Schizosaccharomyces pombe: one gene and its partner. The protein of the gene in region 2 interacts with the protein of the main gene of each other region in a pairwise test. Each region holds a gene or a part of one and is shown on either strand. Other genes may lie near its edges. The genes, in order: dri1 and rhs1.

What was found.
Region 1: the proteins of rhs1 (region 2) and dri1 interact in a two-hybrid assay, tested with the Schizosaccharomyces pombe proteins (one large-scale study listed by BioGRID).

What each region holds. Positions count from the first base shown.
Region 1 is NC_003424.3:2,008,357-2,019,803, reverse strand, and holds dri1 (RNA-binding protein involved in heterochromatin assembly Dri1), read left to right. Parts: upstream 1-8,098; 5' UTR 8,099-8,108; coding exon 8,109-9,899; 3' UTR 9,900-10,459; downstream 10,460-11,447. Other genes in the region: GTPase Ras1, read left to right, coding at 1-46; leu5 (coenzyme A transporter), read right to left, coding at 455-1,435; signal recognition particle subunit Srp21, read right to left, coding at 2,863-2,963, 3,106-3,295, 3,348-3,419; SPOM_SPAC17H9.06C (uncharacterized protein), read left to right, coding at 3,666-4,668, 4,709-5,205, 5,253-5,477, 5,518-5,598; rRNA processing protein Ebp2, read right to left, coding at 5,871-6,872; rdl1 (RAD51D-like protein 1), read left to right, coding at 10,963-11,447. UniProt on the Schizosaccharomyces pombe protein: Mediates heterochromatin assembly by promoting RNAi-mediated heterochromatin silencing and histone deacetylation. Binds pericetromeric transcripts and recruits the RNA-induced transcriptional silencing (RITS) complex to heterochromatin.
Region 2 is NC_003423.3:3,331,726-3,339,539, reverse strand, and holds rhs1 (protein rhs1), read right to left. Parts: upstream 4,531-7,814; 5' UTR 4,431-4,530; coding exon 3,324-4,430; 3' UTR 2,391-3,323; downstream 1-2,390. Other genes in the region: putative ATP-dependent RNA helicase Dbp3, read right to left, coding at 1-789; RNA polymerase I upstream activation factor complex subunit Acr1, read right to left, coding at 5,185-5,937; exosome subunit Rrp43, read left to right, coding at 6,771-6,814, 6,913-7,248, 7,355-7,787.

The DNA of each region.
Region 1 (11,447 bases), on a different chromosome or scaffold from region 2:
TAAAACCGAAGATGAGGTTTCAACTAAATGTTGTGTTATATGTTAGCAAGTATTATTGCAGAATATTTGAGCTGTTTGGTGAATGCACCGTTCCTGTCTTTTGTTTCATCTCTTTCTTTTCATTTCAATAATTGTTTTTTCATTTAACACAATTATTAGCAGCTATCTTTAAGTACTTCATTTTCCCTTTGAACCATTTGCACATCTAGTTTTGGCTGCTAGTATGATAGCAAATTATTCAATTCAGAGTTGTGGACTTAGAAAAAACGTGTTATTTGACTTTGGGTTGCTATTTCTTGTTCCGTTTTAATAAAATACATCTCTTTCATTGCATGGTCACGATGTAACAATCTGCAACTAATGAATATATCATACACCTATAATCCCGTAGATCTTTTTTTATAAATTTTTAAAAAAGGGATAATTTTTTTCATAGAAAACTATGTCTGCAGTCTCAATCTATCCCTAAAAGCGCTTTGCTGTGATTGTAAACAAAAAAGCTAGTGCTTACCATTGGGATAACCTTAATGTAACCTATGGTAAGTCCAACGAAAAAACCTCTCATACCGGCTTCTTTGTAAGTAGTTTGTACTACCTGCTTAAGTCTAAGAAATGATTTATTTTTTCTGATACCACCAATTTGCATTTTTCGTCGACAAACTTCGAATGGGTAAGAAACCGTTTGACCACAAACTCCTGCAAATGCTCCACAAAGTAGTTCGGGCCAAGTTTTAAGTTTTTTATCTGACTTTTTTGTAGAAACCCATTCGTCAATTTTTTGTTTATGAAAAAAATCAGTTGCAAGATCGTAGGCAAGAAACGACATACCAGCATATGGAAAGATTCCAGTTAACGTAACAGAAAATCCACGATAAAAATTACAGATTTTTGACAAACGGGATAACCCAGGATACTTCTTATTGCACAAAAAATCACGTTCGTGAAATATATCTTTTGTAACTTGAGTTAGGGTAGGATTCTTCCCTGTATTGGTTATGTAGGCTAAACGAACACGAATCAGCTCTAACGGGTATGTAAAAAAAACAGAGCAAGTTCCGGCAAGTGATCCTGATAAAAATCGCCGAGCATGTGTTTCATGTTCAGGGTCACGAATTAAAACACGCCGTACTTGTTCGTATGCAACAAATTTAATGCCCGCATAAGGGAAGACTCTGTATAAAGTAGCAGTGTGGCCTTGATAAAGACCGTGTAAGCCATAGACGTGGTAAATGTGTTTGATAGCCTTATAAAGCCCATGCCGTGAATAAGCATACCCTCGATAAGAAGCGTGATTGGTTTGGTAAAGGATTTTCACTCTATCTAATGGGGCAACTACTGATTTTGCAACGCATCCAGCTGTACCACCAGCAATTCCAGATTTGACTAAGAATTCCCATGAATCCTTTTCCGGATATTGGGCAGTTGAGTTAGGCATGTAGAATCCCTGAAAGTGTTTAAGTTAAATAAAGAGGGGATTAAAAAGATAAATGGAAGGACAAAACTTTTCGTACCAAATGCCTAAACATAAAAAAATTGTTAAAACTGAACGTTTTCAACTTCTTACTACAAACAAAATTACATGTAAATAAGATTTAGCATCAAATGTCCAAATATCTTGGATCAATAACAGTGATTGAAGGAACACGAGAACACTTATAGTAGTAGCAAACAGTAATCTGAATAGAAAACACTTCAGATTGTCCAACAAGATTACCTATAAAGCAATCAATTATGCTTTTGAAAGAAAATGAAAGTATCTTTTAGCTTCTGTTAGAATTCCAGTAAGCCCATAGGTAAGGTAAAAAAAAGGCTGTAATTTAACAAATATATTTGTAGGCTAATAATAAAGGATCAAAAGAAAACCAATCCGTTGCTAAAAAATAAAAAATTAAGCCCCTGAGTATCCCAATAATAAATAAAGAAAGGCACTCCTAATGCTCAAATAATTGTTGAGTTGCCGATTTTTTGGTGTTAATGCCCACAGCACTGGAAGGTGGAAATTAAGCAGGCAGTAATATATTTCTCATAATTAAACAAAAACGTTTACTCAATAGCTTTGGAGATAATTGATGATAATAATTTTGTTTAGATCAATCATAGATTAACATAATAAGAATTTTTGAACTATGATGCTAATTCTCTCAACCTACATAAATTGGTTTATGAACAAAATGGTAAACAAAATGTGATAAACTTAAATAAAGATACTATTAAGGTGAAAATGAAGTTGTGTCTATACATATCCATATTAAAAAAGTTGCTCTAGCAAACTTTAAAAGGAAAATTGCTTGTATATTGAATATGAAGTTCACACTGTAGTAAACTAGTTTTTGTGCAATCGGTAACTGTAAACAAACGATATTTTAAAAGCAGAAACATCAACTTTTTTTACTTATTTGCTAATGCAGTAAAACTTTTCATCCTTGTCTAAACGATCTGTCCTAGCGAATGAATAATGAAATTCACCGAATAAAGATTTTTGTACTAAATAATATGTTACCAACTGTGCATAAAGGAAATATTATATTTTAGCACTTGAAATACCTGTAAATGAATACACATGCTTGTTATACTTTTATAACCAATCACATCGGTAATACCAATGCGAATGCATCCTTTTGATTATGTATAGCATTTGCAAATAAAAAATGATATTAAGAAAGAAGGGGCCATTATTCATGTTGGTCGAATAAGAAAGTACAGAACGACTGACTTACACTGCAAATTATCCTTTTTACCTTTATTGATAAACCGAGAGAATTGCTATTGTAAGATAAAAGTAAAGAATTAATCCGATCCTAAGATATCTAACGTGACACTAAATGAACAAAATGAAAAAAAAAAACACGCCAAGTGCTACACTCATTTCTTCTTCCCCCTTTTTTTTTTCTTTGAACCCTTAGGAGGAGCGGAAGGCTCCGCTTTCTTTTGCTCTGTAACCGGAGAAGCCACTACCTCTTGTTCTATATAACATGACTGTTAGCGAAACGTAAAAATTAGAAGAGCATAGTTACATTAATAACTACTTTTAAAGGAAAACATCTTCCTTCCAAGCGCTTCTTTTTATAACAATGCAAAAACAATTGATATACTAATAATACATACCTGGTTCAGGAGGAATTTCGTTACCTGTGGAGACATAACTAAGTTTGTTTGCAATTAGAAGTAATCTGCCAAGTTCAGCCGCCTTGTCAGTCCTATATTTTAGACATATTCCAGAAGCACTTTCAAAGGCTTTCGCGATTAAATAATTTTGACTCTGCTCATTCGTGCGATATTTGATACTAAGTTTGGTCTAAATGAAAAAAGTCAGAGTTTGATTATCAAAGATATCATCAACACCATACCGTTTTTGGATAAGCCTCCGTTAATGATTTTGACTGTGTGAAGAACTCATTCACAGTTTGCAGGTAAACCATGGTATAGTGGCTGATGGTAGGATCAACACATCAGGCATGCACCTCGTAGTGTTGTCTGAAACACAACTAAGTTATATTTGAGTCAATCGAAGGTTACTAAAATTGAATATAATTCATCCAAAAAACGTAAAAGCTTTTTTTACTATTTTTTCTACTTTTTGGTATACTATATTGGTTTTTCACGTATAACAAACTACTGAAACTATTAGTCGACAAATCTGTCAACTTAAAACATTCCCCTAATTTATGGTATCAAATCAAGACAATGTACAGAGAAATGATGTTCAAAAGTATCCGATAACTAGGTTTGTAAAGCGAAAGAGCAATGTTGTGCTTAAAAAGAACAAAGGAGCTATGAAATCGAATTCAAATTCACGCAGTAGAGGGAACAAAAAATTAAAAGAATCCCAATTTTCTTCTCGAGATAATTTTAGAACCACTCAAACTCAAGCATCTTCGTCAAGTGAGCCTAGTGATAACACGAACAGACTAGTTCCGGTGGTAATTATTGATAATAATACTCCAAAGAAAGAAGAAAGCAATGCCGAAAAGTTAAAGTTAGATAAAGATTCTTCAAGCGTTAATTATGAGAACCAAATCAGCAAACCGCTTATTACTTTCTCCGATATTCACGAAACCGTCAACGTTCCGTTTCTTTGTTTAGACAAGCACGACTCAAAAAATGAGGTTGCGATTAATTCACATGAAGATTCGCCTGTATGTCTTGAAGATATCACCGGGTCACTGTCATCTACTTATGGCAACGATAGTTTAGGTGAATCCAACTTGGAAGAATTACCCACTAGTGATAAAATAAAGGGAGAAAACATGGGAAGTCGAAAGAAACGAAAAGGATTTGTCATTGATTCGGAGGATTCCGACACTGGAATTCCAAGAGAAGAAAATGTTACGATTACGAGAAAGACGAAGCTGTCTTCTAATATACTATATTCCGATTCTGATACCGAGCGACAGAGCGATTCTGGTTCAAAAAACGTTGCAAGACAGTTTTCTCGAATAAAACGAAAAAGGAAAGTTTTGAGCTCATCTTCTGAAGATGATGAAAGTTCATCTCCTGAAGATTTGTTGAAGCCCATAATTAGATCAACAGAAGAAATGGAGAATTTAAATGAATTAGAACAAGAGGTTCAAGATTTGGACCCTATTGATGAAGGTTTCGAAGAAAAAGTGCCAAGATTTCGAAATCCTTCGAAGAAGGCATTTTATGAAAAACTACATAGTTTAAGAAGTAAGTAATTTTTTTGTTCTTTTATTAACGAATAATTAAGATCGAAGTTATAGCAAACTTGAATCTCTGACTTCCGAAAAATCTGATACATTGATTACCAAATCTGAATTGGCTAATGAATCAGAAGAAGACGATTTTATAGTGGATGATGAGGATACAGAGGTAATGATGAATGCTCGAAGTTTACTTCCTGCAGAGTTTTCAATGACAAGTCATCAAGGTTTAAAAGCACACTTTCGAAACTTTATGATGTTTATAGTTCAGCAGGCTATTGATCCAATAGACGCTTCTGATATATCTGATCATTATTTGTTTAGCCGTCGAACTATTCGTAAACAGTTATATTCATCAGTTGATTCGAATATCATCTCAAGCATTTGGCAATCAGAGTTCATTAAACTAATCAAGACTGTACCAAATATGAAAAGTGCCAAGATCGATGCTACTTATGGCTGTGATGCATGTAATATTCACACCAGAATGTCAACGCAAATTGTTTATTTTAAAGGAATGCCTTATAATGAGCATAACTATAAAGTATGAATTGATTTTCTCAACACTAGCGGGCTACTAACTTTCTAAAGGAGCTAGACAGTTTTGAACCGATCACTAAAGAAGCGTGGATGCTAGGAAACAGTTGCTTTAATCGTGCTAGAATTGCACACAGCATATATCATTGGGAATATAAAGTTAGTCGACATATACAAGTTGAACTCAAATTTCGTGAAGCTTCTAACACTAGCGAGCAAGGAAAAAATATTGTTGAAAGCATATATGAGGATCTTAAGGATTCAAATTTTTTTGAAACGGTAAGTATTCATGAGATATTTATTATTTCTAACTGCTTAGACCTGGGTGGAACTATGCAATTTATTGAAACTTGCAAGTTCTTCATTCGAATCTAATTTCCATAGCCGTTCCTCAATGTAATCTAGAAATTTAGTAAAACAAATTTAACCGATTTGGGTAAAACGGTGCAAGAATTTGATATTTTTTTAGAATTTATTGTGTGATCGGCTCTAATTGTATATTACATAATTTAATATTTATAACTGTTCATTTTTTTTGCAAAATTCTTGTTGCTCTTCTTATAATATATCGCCTTCAAACTCGACTGAAGTACGAAACATACCTATTGTAAAGAAGAAATAATGATATTAAACCTAAGATATAGTTATTTATAGACCCCTTATAAACCCCAATTATTTTCTAGCCTTTTCACGTCGCGCCTTACCGGGACGTTTTTTAGATTTAATGTTTTTAAGACCTTTTCTCCCAAATTCGGTAGCAGCAAGACTGTCGAGATCATTGCTTTTGCTGCGATGCTTTGGACCACCAAATCCATACTTTTCATTTTTCTTTTGTCGCTTCGGATTAGGCTGTGGCCGTGATTTCGTACTACGGCTACCTTTTTTAAATGTATCGGCAGAGGCTGATGAAAGAGCAATATCAAAGTCATCTTCAGTGGTAAGATCTCCTCCAGTATGCTTTCGTTTGAGAAGGTTAATTTTTTCGAGGGTTTCCTTTTTTTCCCGTTGACGCTCTTCTTGTTTAGCAAGCTGAACTTGTTTACCAAACTTCTTGAGTTCTCGTTGTTTCTTAGCTTGCTGGGATAGTTTTTTAGCGGTTGCTTCTTTAATCAACTCTTGACGCACTTTCTCCATGTGGTCATCGGACTTTAACATTTCCGCAAAATAGTCATGAGGTCGGGAAATTAGAACATTCGCCTCACGAAGTTTGGCAAAAGCCGCCTTTACAGAGCTCACACCTTGTTTATAAAAGGCCAGTTCACGGGCAAGATCATCCTCAACATTTTCAATTATTATAGGCTCCTTAGTAGTAACAGCTTGGTTTTCAACAAACGAAATATCATCAGGATATTTAATTCGTTCATAGATGTTCTCTAGTGCAACAGTGTTATTTATAGCTAATTTTCTTTTTCTAATCAAATCAGCGTCTTCTTCCAACTCAATTCCTTCAAGATCAGAAAGTTCAACTTCATCTGATCCCTCAGATTCGTTCTCTTGATCAGCTGTATCAGCTGTTTCAATAATAGGAGATTTAATGGTATTGATCATTTCTTTCTCATTTAATGCCTCAACAGAAGTAGAAGATTCATTGCTTTCCTTGTTTTTCTTTTCCTTCATAGCAGCTTTAGCTGCCTTTTTCTGAGCTCTTCTTTGCTTTGATTCTATTCCTGCCATCGTTGTAGTCTAGTGTGTATTCTACACAAAGCTGAATTTGAATATTTTTCAAAGGTTTTGAAAAATTTGCTTTGTGCTACTTTGATTAATACAATCTACGATTAGGCTAACGGTGACAAAGATTTTTACTATTGCAGTTCACATCAAATAATAAAGAGCACATTTAGAATCGCTAAGCTGATTAACGTTGCGTTATATTACTCTTAGTCTTCATTTAGGTTGTACGGAAGGCATTTAATAAATCCTTAACGTAAATTTTAACCCTTTATTTGTCCGTATAAAATTCGTTGTATCAATTTTAAGCTATAACTTGGTCGCATTTTATCGATTGTAGAGTTATTGCTGATAAATTTATGTTTTGCTACATTACACCAACTCTAATTGAAATGACGGTAATTTAGTAAATTATCAGTTGTGTAAGTAAATTACTATCAGCTTTTTTATGTAGCAAGATGTACAAATACTTTTCAATGGATGGCTTTTCAGTATAACTTTTCCCTTGACTTCCTGATACAATTGTCAAAATAAACAACAGTTCTTTGATTGTTTACGTGGTTACAAAAAACCCCGGTATTGTTCATAAGATGTAAGCTACGCAGTTTGGTATCTGATTTAAGGATACGTAGAACTGCGGTGAGTTTTCCTTGTGATCTATTATATTACAATACACAGGTTGTATAAGTAGCAACTGAGTATAGGTATTGTATTAACTGGGTTATAATGTTAACTATCACTAATATAGCTCATAACTGAACTGAGGAACGAGGTTCAGCAGTAGCTCTATTTATAGTATTCAGATAATATTGATCTTAATAGATTATCATTAAGATCAATCTCCATATCGTATTATACATGGTACGATATATAATTAGAACATGTGACATATAGTGATACTCAACGTAGTGTAGTATTGCTGACATAAGAATACCAAATGCTTGATGCGCTAAATTATGGTATAATAATTTATCGTAAAATTTTCATTTTCATTGTGTTTCGAAAGTATTGCTAAATTTTCTGCTTTGCATGCAAAAGAATCCCACAACAATACACGATTCGACAGTAACATCAGTTGTACATATTATTGTTCATAAAAGATTTTTCTCCTTTGAATAATTCCGCTTAGGTGGATTCTAAATCTAGATTTGTTACTTTTGTGACTGTACTTGTGAGTGACAAAGAAAAACACCAACGGGTTTGTAGCTTTGCAATATCATGTCAAAGCTACCAAGTCCAACAATGCCTCTGCCAGAATCGGTAGGCGACTTGGTTGTTTTGCACTTTGAAACAAATCTTGACGATCACGGCATTAGCATTGGCCGGGCGCCATGTGAAATTCATGAAATATGCTGGGTTATATTAGATGGAAAAACTTTGGAAAAACAACACTGTGAATCGTGTAGTATTCGTGAAGATAGTTCTCGTCATGGAATTTGTGGTTCTGCTAGTTCCTTAACTGAAGCTATCTTCACATTGGATAATTCAATCCAAGAACGATTAAACTTCCAAGGAAAACCTTTTACATTTGTTGTTATGAATGGAAGAGAGCTTCGTGTATTATTGCCAAAAGAAGCACGGGATCAGGGAATTACGCTACCTTCCTACATGCGCCATCCTCGCTTGTTTGATTTATCAAGCGAATACGCCAAGTGGCAGATTCGCATGGGTGCAGTACCACCATACACAATAACGCTTTCTCATATTTTTGGTAAATTAGATGTCGACTCTTTACCACCTATTACAGAGTCAAAAGCAATTGAATTATCACCTTCAGATGCTCCTTACATAACCAAAGGTCTTACTCAATGCTGGCGCCTTGCAAATGCTACCACCTTATTGCTTCGTAAAGCAGAGAAAGATTCTCGAGGTCATTCTCTTCCTTCGGTGCTTACACAACCCATTAACTGTCAAGCAGACGCACGAAGCTTTTATGCAGAACGGTCAAAAATTGTACACGTTGCAGGTTTGACCAACGATGTAACACAGCTCGAGTTGGAAAGTTGGTTTACTAATCATGGGGTTCATCCCGTAGCTTTATGGACTTTAAAGACTCCCGAACCTTACAAATCTACGGGTACAGGTTTTGTGCTATTTGCTAGTCATGAAGATGCTGCCGATGCTCTTGCCTTTAATGGATATTGCTTAGGAGATCGGATGCTGGAAATTATTCCCAGTAGTACAAAGGTTTTAGATAAAGCTTCAGACATTCTAATTCCTTTTCCTTCTAGTAAGAATCGCCCACGCCCTGGGGATTGGAATTGCCCAATGTGCGGTTTCAGCAATTTTCAACGTCGAACGTCTTGTTTCCGATGCTCATTTCCTGGTCCTACTCATGTTTCAGCTGCTACTGGTAGCAATACTTTTTCACCTGATTTCCCTTATGGAAATTCATACGGCAACGGCTCCTCTCACTTTATTGCCAACTATGGTGGATCTGTCCATCATTCTAACGAAAATACCATGCAAAGTGATCTTCAGCATCAGAATGGCAATAATGCTGTAAATCATCATCATTCTTCACGCTCATTCGGTGGTAATGTCCCTTTTCGTGCTGGTGATTGGAAATGTGGCTCTGAGGGTTGTGGATATCACAATTTCGCAAAAAATGTTTGCTGCTTACGCTGTGGGGCTAGCCGTGCTACAGCTGCAGTCGTAGCAGATCATGCATCTGGGCCGGTGAATGGTTCGTATAGTCATAATTCATATTCTCACATCCCCCCTGTTATGAGTACAAGTCCTCCTAATCATTCGGTGTATCCTTACTCACAACTTTCTATAAATTCAGTAACGGCTAATCATGGTCAAAATTTTGGGGGACAAAATGGTGGTAATGTATCTAGGTTCGATGATCATGGACGCTTTAAAGAAGTATCACGTCCTTCCGTTACTACTGATCAAGGCGATTGGTTATGTGAGTGTGGATTTACTAATTTTCGTCGCCGCAGTAATTGTCTCCGTTGCAATGCTCCGCATTACTCTAATATGCAGATTCCTGCATCCTTGCCTTCGGATTTCAATGCTTACGTGTAAAGTTGGACAATTATATTTAATGGATAGGTCCCGTAGTACAAAGGATATTTGGTAAACACTATAGCTAAAAATGCAAGTGATTAGTGCGATAAAAATAATCACTTATGTCTTGAAGGAGCAAATTTGATGAAACAATTGTTATTATTTAAAGGCAGCATTTTGAAAAGCAACTCTATTGGAACAAAAATTTAAAAGTTGTATTGGGTTTTCTTATGAAGGTTTTGCATAAACATTGAATTACAGGTGTGGTCAAAATTAGTTCATAATTTTCTTTGGTGGGTTTTTTTCTTCTATTTAGTGCTATTTAATTTTTGACCTTGAAGAAATTTTCGGGGAAAAAACAGCAGTCAATCGTATAGAGCTCTCCCATATTTGGGATTTGGGGATTCATTTGTTTTGGAGTGTCACACTCATTGAACGTTTGAAAAAATGGTTGTTTACCTCTTACAGTTGTCAGTGCTGTTCAAATTTATAGGGTTCTTCGGTAAATAATGTATTGTTAATATTCCTTTTTTTTATTATATAATTTATAAAAATTTTGTAACGATAATGATTAAATCAATCGATACATGAGGTTACTTGTAATACATGGCATTATTAGAGAGAATTAAATTCGCATATGTAGCATTTAAAAACAGTTAGTTGATGCTTTTCTATTTTTTCTTTTTATTCTTAAAGGGTTATTCTCAATATATACAAATCCACACCAGTGTGGCTATATACTGTACTCGAATGTTGACGACCTTTCTGCTTCTTTAATCCATACCCTAATTAAATATAATCCATGTAGATAGTTCAACAAAAAACATGAGATAAGATTCAACACACACTCATGATTAGTTAAATACTTGTTGAACATTCCGGAAATTTTTGACGATTGTACGTATCTTTTCCTTCAACGCATTTGGGTGTTTATCTCTTTTAGAATGCCATTAGCATAACCAGGGGATGATTGCAAAAATCAATTTCATTGATCATCAATATCGTTGGAAAAAACAATTCTATCGAAAGTTTAAAGCATACCAAGCAAATTCTTAAAGCAGCTTATATATTTTCTGACATTATGAATCAGGTTACTCAATTTAGTGGAAATTCTGCAAACTTGATGCTTTACTGGATTCTAAAAAGTTATTACTCTAGGTTTGATAGAATTATGTGGATTGATACTTTAGGTACTTTCAATCCGGCTGCACTCCCTCTTCCATGTCTTGAAAAAACTATGTTGGTTAGATCATTCGATGCTCAGGGATTGAAGGATGCAGTTGATGAGTTGGAAAGCAATCTCAAAAGCTCCGAAGATCAAGCATATGCATTGTGTATAGATTCCTTTTCTAATCCCATTGGTTTGTTAATGGCTCAGGGCAATATATCTTTTGCACATGCATTCATGATGACTTTAGGAAGAAAATGCCGAATCCTTACCAGAAAATTCAGATTAGCAGTATACTTATCTACTTCTCTTGTGTACATAAAGCAACTCCACCTTTCCAAACCAGCGCTGGGAAACAGCTGGCCATTTTGTCTTGACCATTCATATATTCTAGAAGA
Region 2 (7,814 bases):
GTAACCAACTTGAGAACAATCAATCGAGCCATCGTTAATCAGATCCAACAAACGACCAGGGGTACCAATAATGACACTGGCGTTCTTGGCAGCCCTCGCTTGCTCCGATTTAGGGGCGCCGCCATAAACAACCACAGCTTTTAAGTTGGTACCTTGAATAAGACTATTGAGGTTTTCATACGTTTGAATGGCTAATTCTCGAGTAGGACTAACTACCAAAACACGAGGGACAGACTTGTTATCTGACAAACCATTGAGGTATTGCAAAGCAGGAATTCCGAATGCAACAGTCTTACCAGAACCGGTTTCAGCAATTCCTACCACGTCTCTCCCAGCTAGTAAATAAGGCCAAGTAGCAGCTTGAATAGGCGTAGGTTCCTTATAATTCTTTAAACCCTCGCGTAACTTAGCTGAAACGTCTAGTTCATCGAACTGAAGAATTGGAAGTAAATTTTCAGAGGATTTAGGATCCGCAAAAGAAATATTATGCTTCTTAATGTAACGGTCATACGCTTCTTCATCATTATGATTAGAAGCGTTAGCTGAGCCGATCGCGGGTTGTGCGATTTTTGCTCCCTCTTCCGCATTGATTTCTATCGATTCTTCTTTAGTTTTTGATTTTCCTTTCTTTGATTTCTTTTTATCCTTTTTTGAAATTCTATCCTTGTCGGCAGAGGGCTTATCTTTTTTATGCTTCTTATGCTCATGCTTTGATTTCTTCTCCTTTCGCTTAACAGAAGCTTCTTCATCCGCCGATCTTTTTAACTCTTCCACTGATCGTTTCGCCATTTTTAAAAGGAAAGCTTTGAAGAGAAAGGTTAGAGTAAAAATATGCAAAAAAACATTTTCCTTCAGAGATATTAACGTAGTAACCAAGTAATTGTTATCTATGCTTAACGATATATACAATATTAAAATCCTAAAACAAAATTGCATTACGTTCTTTTCGCGCTATGTAAGCTATTGTATCCCAGATTTTTTTTGTTACTAACAAATTGGTCTTGTAGTACGAAAGATAATGCTCACAAAATTTAAATAATTATAGATTAAAAAAAATCATTCTTTATATTTTCATTAAAAAAATATATCCAGCTGGCTGTTTTTTGTTTGATTGTAGTTGTTTCATTATATTACTAGAAGGATAATAGTTACTTTTTGTGATAAGAATATCTAATAAGATTATATATAGGTCATTAAAATCTTTACCACAGTATATTGTTTTAAAAAGCCGCTAACAAGCTAGGTAAACAGAGGCAGTGAGTGTGTTTCGTTATTAATTAAATTTATTGTTTCAAAAAATTATTATCTGTCTAAATAATTGGAAGCATCCTGTCAATTGGTTTTTTACTAATTACGAAATTTATTAACATAATTAGATTGGACAGAGATTGGGTTGTGTTTTGAGAAATAAGCTAGAAGCAGTGAAGTAATGGTTGCGCCCCATTATTCCGTTTTAGAAAAGACTGTTGTCTGTATGTATCATGGATTAACTTATAAATGCAGAATCCTTTTTGATCATCTGCTATTAAATATTGCCAATGTATTATTAACATCGGTTAAAGAAATACATAAGGGTCCAAAGCGCTTTTAGGAGTAGGAAGCTAACTGCATATTAGAATATATATTACCATTGGAAATTGCATAATTAAGAGGTATGGATTTATATGATTAGAAGTCGCAAGACTTTCTACTTAATCTTTTAAAATCTACAAAGCTGTTTTGAAATGATTGCCATTGCGTTCGATGTGTGTAACCTGATACTTGAAGTAGAAGTAATCGAGTATAAAATTGATTTATTTATGTTTTTTAATTAAATTTGTGTTTCATTAATTTAGCTAAAACCAACTAAAGAATTTCAAGAGTCATGGGTTTTCTGGCTTGATATTTAACTAAGTAAGGTTTATTAGTATAAATTTGGAAGTTTTTTACAATGTTCGAATAATGTTGTCTCTCTCGAGTTTACTATCAGACATATTCTAAAAATATTAATTGAACAAGGTTAAGTGCCTATCGCGGTTAAGCAATAGAGGCGAACCTAATCAATTTCCAAATTGTCTATAGATTTGCTATCTCGTGTAATTTAGTTACGGATGTATGGGAGACGGATACTTTTTTTTTTACCTCCTAGAATGTCAATTAACTAGCATTACTACATTCACGATTACTGACTACTCTTAATTTTTTTTTTTTAAGAATCTTCACCATATCTATTATTTGTATTCTAATTTTCTTTATATAATGTTCACCTTTTAAATTTCTCACATATAGCGAACAACGCTTCCGAATCGGTAGTAATTTGTACCAACTTTATGCGAGCGAAATAACGGCCAATAAATGTTACTATTCATTAACTTAAATCATCACTAATTAACATGAAAGAGTACAATGAAGTCCAGGTTTGCTTTATATATGTGAATTAAATACTATAAATTATTAATAAAAAAAATAATTTCTAACCAAATCTAGTTTATCAAGTAAAATAAAATTGATTTTGAAATTTGGCTACTTAAAATTTTAAAAAAATATTTACATCTTTATGCTGTTGATTCACCCCCCTGAAATAAATCCAGATAAAGAGCACGATGGCCTGTGAAAGACAAAACTTCTGCACAGACGTAATATCATAAAAACCAACAACCTAGACTCAAATGCGATTGACCATGCCGTTTGCTGTGACAAGAAGCATGCGATGCACTCAAGAGTAGTATACCCATGTACGATAAGAATCCCCTAACTTTGATAGTTCAAACTAAATACCAATAGAAATATCTAACTCTCCCATTTTTAACCACTGTCCTCTCTTTTGTCAAGAAAATGCAAAGATTTATCACCATAAACCTATGTGCCGAAAGTAATAGTCAAGTAACTTGACATTTTCTTCAATCCAGAACCTTCTCACAAAACAAACTATTCAACCAAGCAAAAACCCTTCCCACACTCAAAAGTTCTTAGGAAAAAAAACCATACCTTTAAGCAACGTCGACAATTCGTGAAACACTTTTAAAAAACATAAAAGTGAAAGCGAATTAAAAAATTGCCGGCAACTTATTTAACAAAAAAGTTACAATTTTTCTGTTTTCCATTTTTAGAAAATAAAGAAATATCTTATGCTCACAATATTAGGATAGAAATCATCAGCACCAATATTAGATTTCCTTATCTTATTCGAATAAGTTTCCAATGAGCGCTTTAAAACAACAGAATGCCCACAAATGCAAAAGAATTAAAATTATAAAGTAATAGATCACAACCTTCAAAGCTCAACCTATAAATAAAATACTATTCCGTGTCCAAGAAAGTTCCGCATCAAGAAAATGTAGCAATTACCACACGTTGACACCTCCAAGAGTACTGGCACAGGGAGAAGACCAAATCTGAGAACTTAAAGCAGAAGTTGAGTTATGAGATTTAGATAGAGAGGAAGACAATCCAGACATATCATGATTGTTCCCGCTGTATTCTTGCTTGAAGTCCAAACTTAGTGTTGGTAGTGAAGAAGAAACAGAAGAGCCAGTGGACTGCGGAGAATCAGCAACAGCAGAAACATTGTTCACTGCTGTAACTGGTGTGGCATTTCCATTGGCAGCCGGTGGATTTGGAGGCCTCAGCGTTTGGTCAGTAGGAGTAGAACTATTACTGAATGCGATCTCTTTACGAGAAGGACGCGTACCGATCGGAGCTATCGATGAAGGTCGACGACGAGAAGGAATCGATAAAGATTCCATGTTAGCGGACTCTATGAAAGAAGAGGGCGTAAAGCTATTTGAAGCAGATTCAAACAACGAAAACCCAGCCGATTTTGAAGAAGAACGCAATGAAGAGGAGAGATTAGAAAGCCCACCAGATGGTAAACTAGCAGCACCGACAGTATTGTAAGAAAAGGAGGAGCGTGTCGGAGTAGCAAGATCATAATACGAAGAACGTGAATGATGAGCACTACTAGAGAGCAAAGACGTTGTGGATCTCCTGGGATGTAGTAATGAGGTACTAGCTTGTGAACCGAAATTGGAAGTAGCATTACCTGGTAACGAGCTTCCGAGCATGCTGGAACCAAAACCACTAGAACCGACCAAACCACTTGCCGGTTCAGCAGGAGACGTACCCAGCAGATTAGAGCCTGCAGTAGGGGTGCTCGAAAGTGTGCTTTTTAACAAACCAGAGCTGGGAACATGACTCATTGAAACACTGCCATTTAAGGCTTCGCTCAATGCACTCGTCGAAAAGGGGTTGTTCACTGAGGAGGCAAAACTATTTTTTCGACGAGGTGCAATCATACCATTTTTTACGAGATTGTCATAAGCCGATTCAACTTCTTCAAATTGACTTACAAAAGCCAAATCGTCCTCTGGCTGAACAACATTTGTTGGACCGAGCCCATCCCAATAAGAAGCGGCCGAAAACCAACTGTTGACTCCATCTACAAACGACATAAAGACAACTCGTTGTTTTTTTGAAATTGGCCTATTTTCAAAGTTTTAACCAAACGTTGTTTACTTCAAAAAAAATTTCCTGCCAATTGTGGTTTGCTTTGGATAGGTTCCTTTCACAGCGTTTACCAAGGAGCCGCTCCCAATATTTCGCTAACTTTTGTAATCGATAGTCTATTGTAACTGGGTTGCCATCCGGCAACTGTTCGTTCTTCGCTTCTCTATGACTTTTTTACTATTTCCGTAGTATTTGTTATCACTTAATCTCCACATTTTTTCTACATCGGACTTCAAGTTACAGTACCACGTGCCGCCCTTATTTTAAACGAACACACCATCAGCTTTGCATAGACTGTTAAATAGCTTATACAATTTAGTAAAACTGTGTAACTTAGATATATTGGAAAACAGTATCATAACAGTAAAGATTTAACCTCAGCAAATACTTGCCACTTCCAGTTTAAAGTGTAGGATGAACTTGTAAGCATGATAAAGTTGAAACAATATTCTTGTTGCGTAGAACCTTTTTCCTAGATCAACGCAAAAACAAAATAACTTAAAAAAAAAGAAAAGAAATTCGGATGCAGAAAAACTATATGTGCAAATACGGCGGGAGTTACACAAATAATTAAACATATACATCAGCCAAAAGATGTTTACTGGAACATTAATTGTTGAGACTTACGCAGATTGACCTGTTCACAGATGCGTGTTTTTTTTCAAAATACTCATACTTATTAAATTTCCCACCAATTTCTTAATCCTCAAATTCTATCGAGATTTCTGGGTTAGAGTGTGAAACTTTTTCAATATCAATACTAGGTTGTAACGACATCTCTTTGAATAATGATTGACAAGCTCTTGTACCATTGCCCAATGCAAGAACGTCTGCTTTTTGCGACGAGGAAAACGAACCGTTTGTGACTCGAGCAAGTCCGTAAAGAATCTTCCAATCCATAGGCTTTACACGTGATTGCATGCTTTTGCTTCCCTGTTCTTGTCGAAAAGTATCAACCGAATCAAAAAGGCGTTCCAATTTTATCTGTAACCTTTCAACCAAGTATCGGAGGCCATCCGGATTAGGCAGTTCCTCAGAAGAAGCCATTCTACCCAACTTGTGTAATTTTTTTGATGCTAAACGCACAGCCAAATATGCAGCCTCTTGGCGAAACCTCGAAGCCGAGGTTCCATCAAAAAATGATTCATCGGGGATGGAATGAATTGTAGGCCATACTGCACGTAGACGTGGTGGAATCCTTCGTTCATAACCGTCCAAATCGCTTTGCAATTCATTTCGACGAGTTATACCAGCTTTATAACTGCAATAAAGTTGAATACACAAATTTTTCATCTCAGATCTTCTCAGTTCGGAAACAATTTCTCGATACTCTATTAGCTGTGCGTATAGAGCATCTTGCTTTCGCATTTCTTTTTCATCCGAAGTATCCTGAGAAGAGGAAATATCCTCTTGACTTCCTTGCTGCTCTAATTCTTCCTCAGAATCATTCATAGCATCATTTCCTCAGAAGGTTTAGCATCCGGCTGTTGTGTTCGTAGGCTAGAGGTTAAGGAAAGGTCATTGTACCTGGCGCGATATTAAGTGTGTTTACTGACTTTTTTTTTTAATTTCCTTTAACTATAATCTAATAGAAAAAAACTTTTCCTTTTTTTTATTAATATAAGACTTTTGCTTCGTCTAACAACCGATAAACTAAGAGTGTGCAAATTTTGAAATATAAACATGCACCCAAATAACTTACTTTAATTTAAGAGCTATATATTATGCTACTTACCAAATTCCGTATGTATTCTGCTGACTTTTAATTGTTTAATTATGCCTTATTTTCTTTAACCATGGATCATTGTAAATTTTGTTATTTTACCTTTTTTTAAAAAAAAAAAAATCAGTAGAAAAGGCCTTAAATAAATTTTTTTCGAATTAGCATTTTTAAATGTTAATTATGTGATCTCTTTTTTCAAAATCGTTTAAACGAATTGGGATTTTGTAGCTAAAATTCAAATGAATTATCAATCCTTAATTGAAATTTGCACCGAATATACCTTCAATAAATTAAAAAAAAACCAAGGAATTTAAACATTTTAAGGACCTCACAAACCTTTTATTTACCATATAAGTTTTTCATACTTTACTTCGTACACCTATTTCATCCCTCTACTCCATTTCATAATTTCAACCTGTAGACAAAATTCAGCACATATATCGAATTCTTGTGATTCATATTCATTTTATATATTTTTCAGTATCGTTCTTCAGTTATTTGGTCTTTCTACGTTACTATATCATTTAGCTTCGTTATTGAAACACTACATTCTTTTCACATCATGAAAACTGTTTCGGGGGTAAAACAGCTTTCATTTACACCTTCGTAAGTTGCTCTTTGATTTCTTATTCTATCTTTTTTAGTGCTCTGTTTCCTTTTCACTTTGTTTTTCTTTGTTACAGTACTAACATTTTACTGGATAGAATTTTTAAGAAAATCACGCCTGAGCAGTATTTATCACATCTTCTTAATCAGGATGTTCGATCAGATGGGCGGTCTGTATCAGAATTCAGAGAAATTGTAATTAATGATAATTGCATATCTACTGCTAATGGTAGTGCTATCATTCGAGCTGGCGAAAATGTCTTTGTGTGTGGAATAAAAGCAGAAATTGCTGAACCTTTTGAAAACTCTCCCAATGAAGGTTGGATTGTTCCCAATCTTGAATTATCACCTCTTTGCAGTAGCAAATTTAAACCTGGCCCTCCTTCTGACTTGGCGCAAGTTGTCTCGCAGGAATTGCATCAGACTTTGCAACAGTATGTATCAAATTATTGGAATTTTTCTAATTTTCTACCATACGTTTCATTTATTGTTAAACTATCATTTAGAATATTTAGTTACTTTTACTAACAACTTATACAGATCTAACTTGATTAATTTACAGTCCCTATGCATTTTTGAAAAAAAAGCAGCCTGGGTATTGTATGCTGATATTATTTGTTTAAATTATGATGGAAGTGCCTTCGATTATGCATGGGCAGCTTTGTTTGCCGCTTTAAAAACTGTTAAATTACCAACTGCTGTTTGGGATGAAGATTTAGAGAGGGTTATCTGTGCTTCTACCCTTACAAGACCAGTTCAATTAAGTACTGAAGTTCGTTCTTTCTCATGGTCAGTATTTGACGACAAGTTGTTAGCCGACCCTACAGACGAGGAGGAGGACCTTTCAACTGAATTTTTGACAATTATGCTTAATAGCTCCAAAAATATTGTTAAGATAATAAAGCTTGGAGGCACTCACATTCAACCCCTTTTATTAAAAAAGTGTATTGAGGTTGCAAGGTCTAAGTTCTAACAAATTTTTGGGTTATCAAGGTGTATA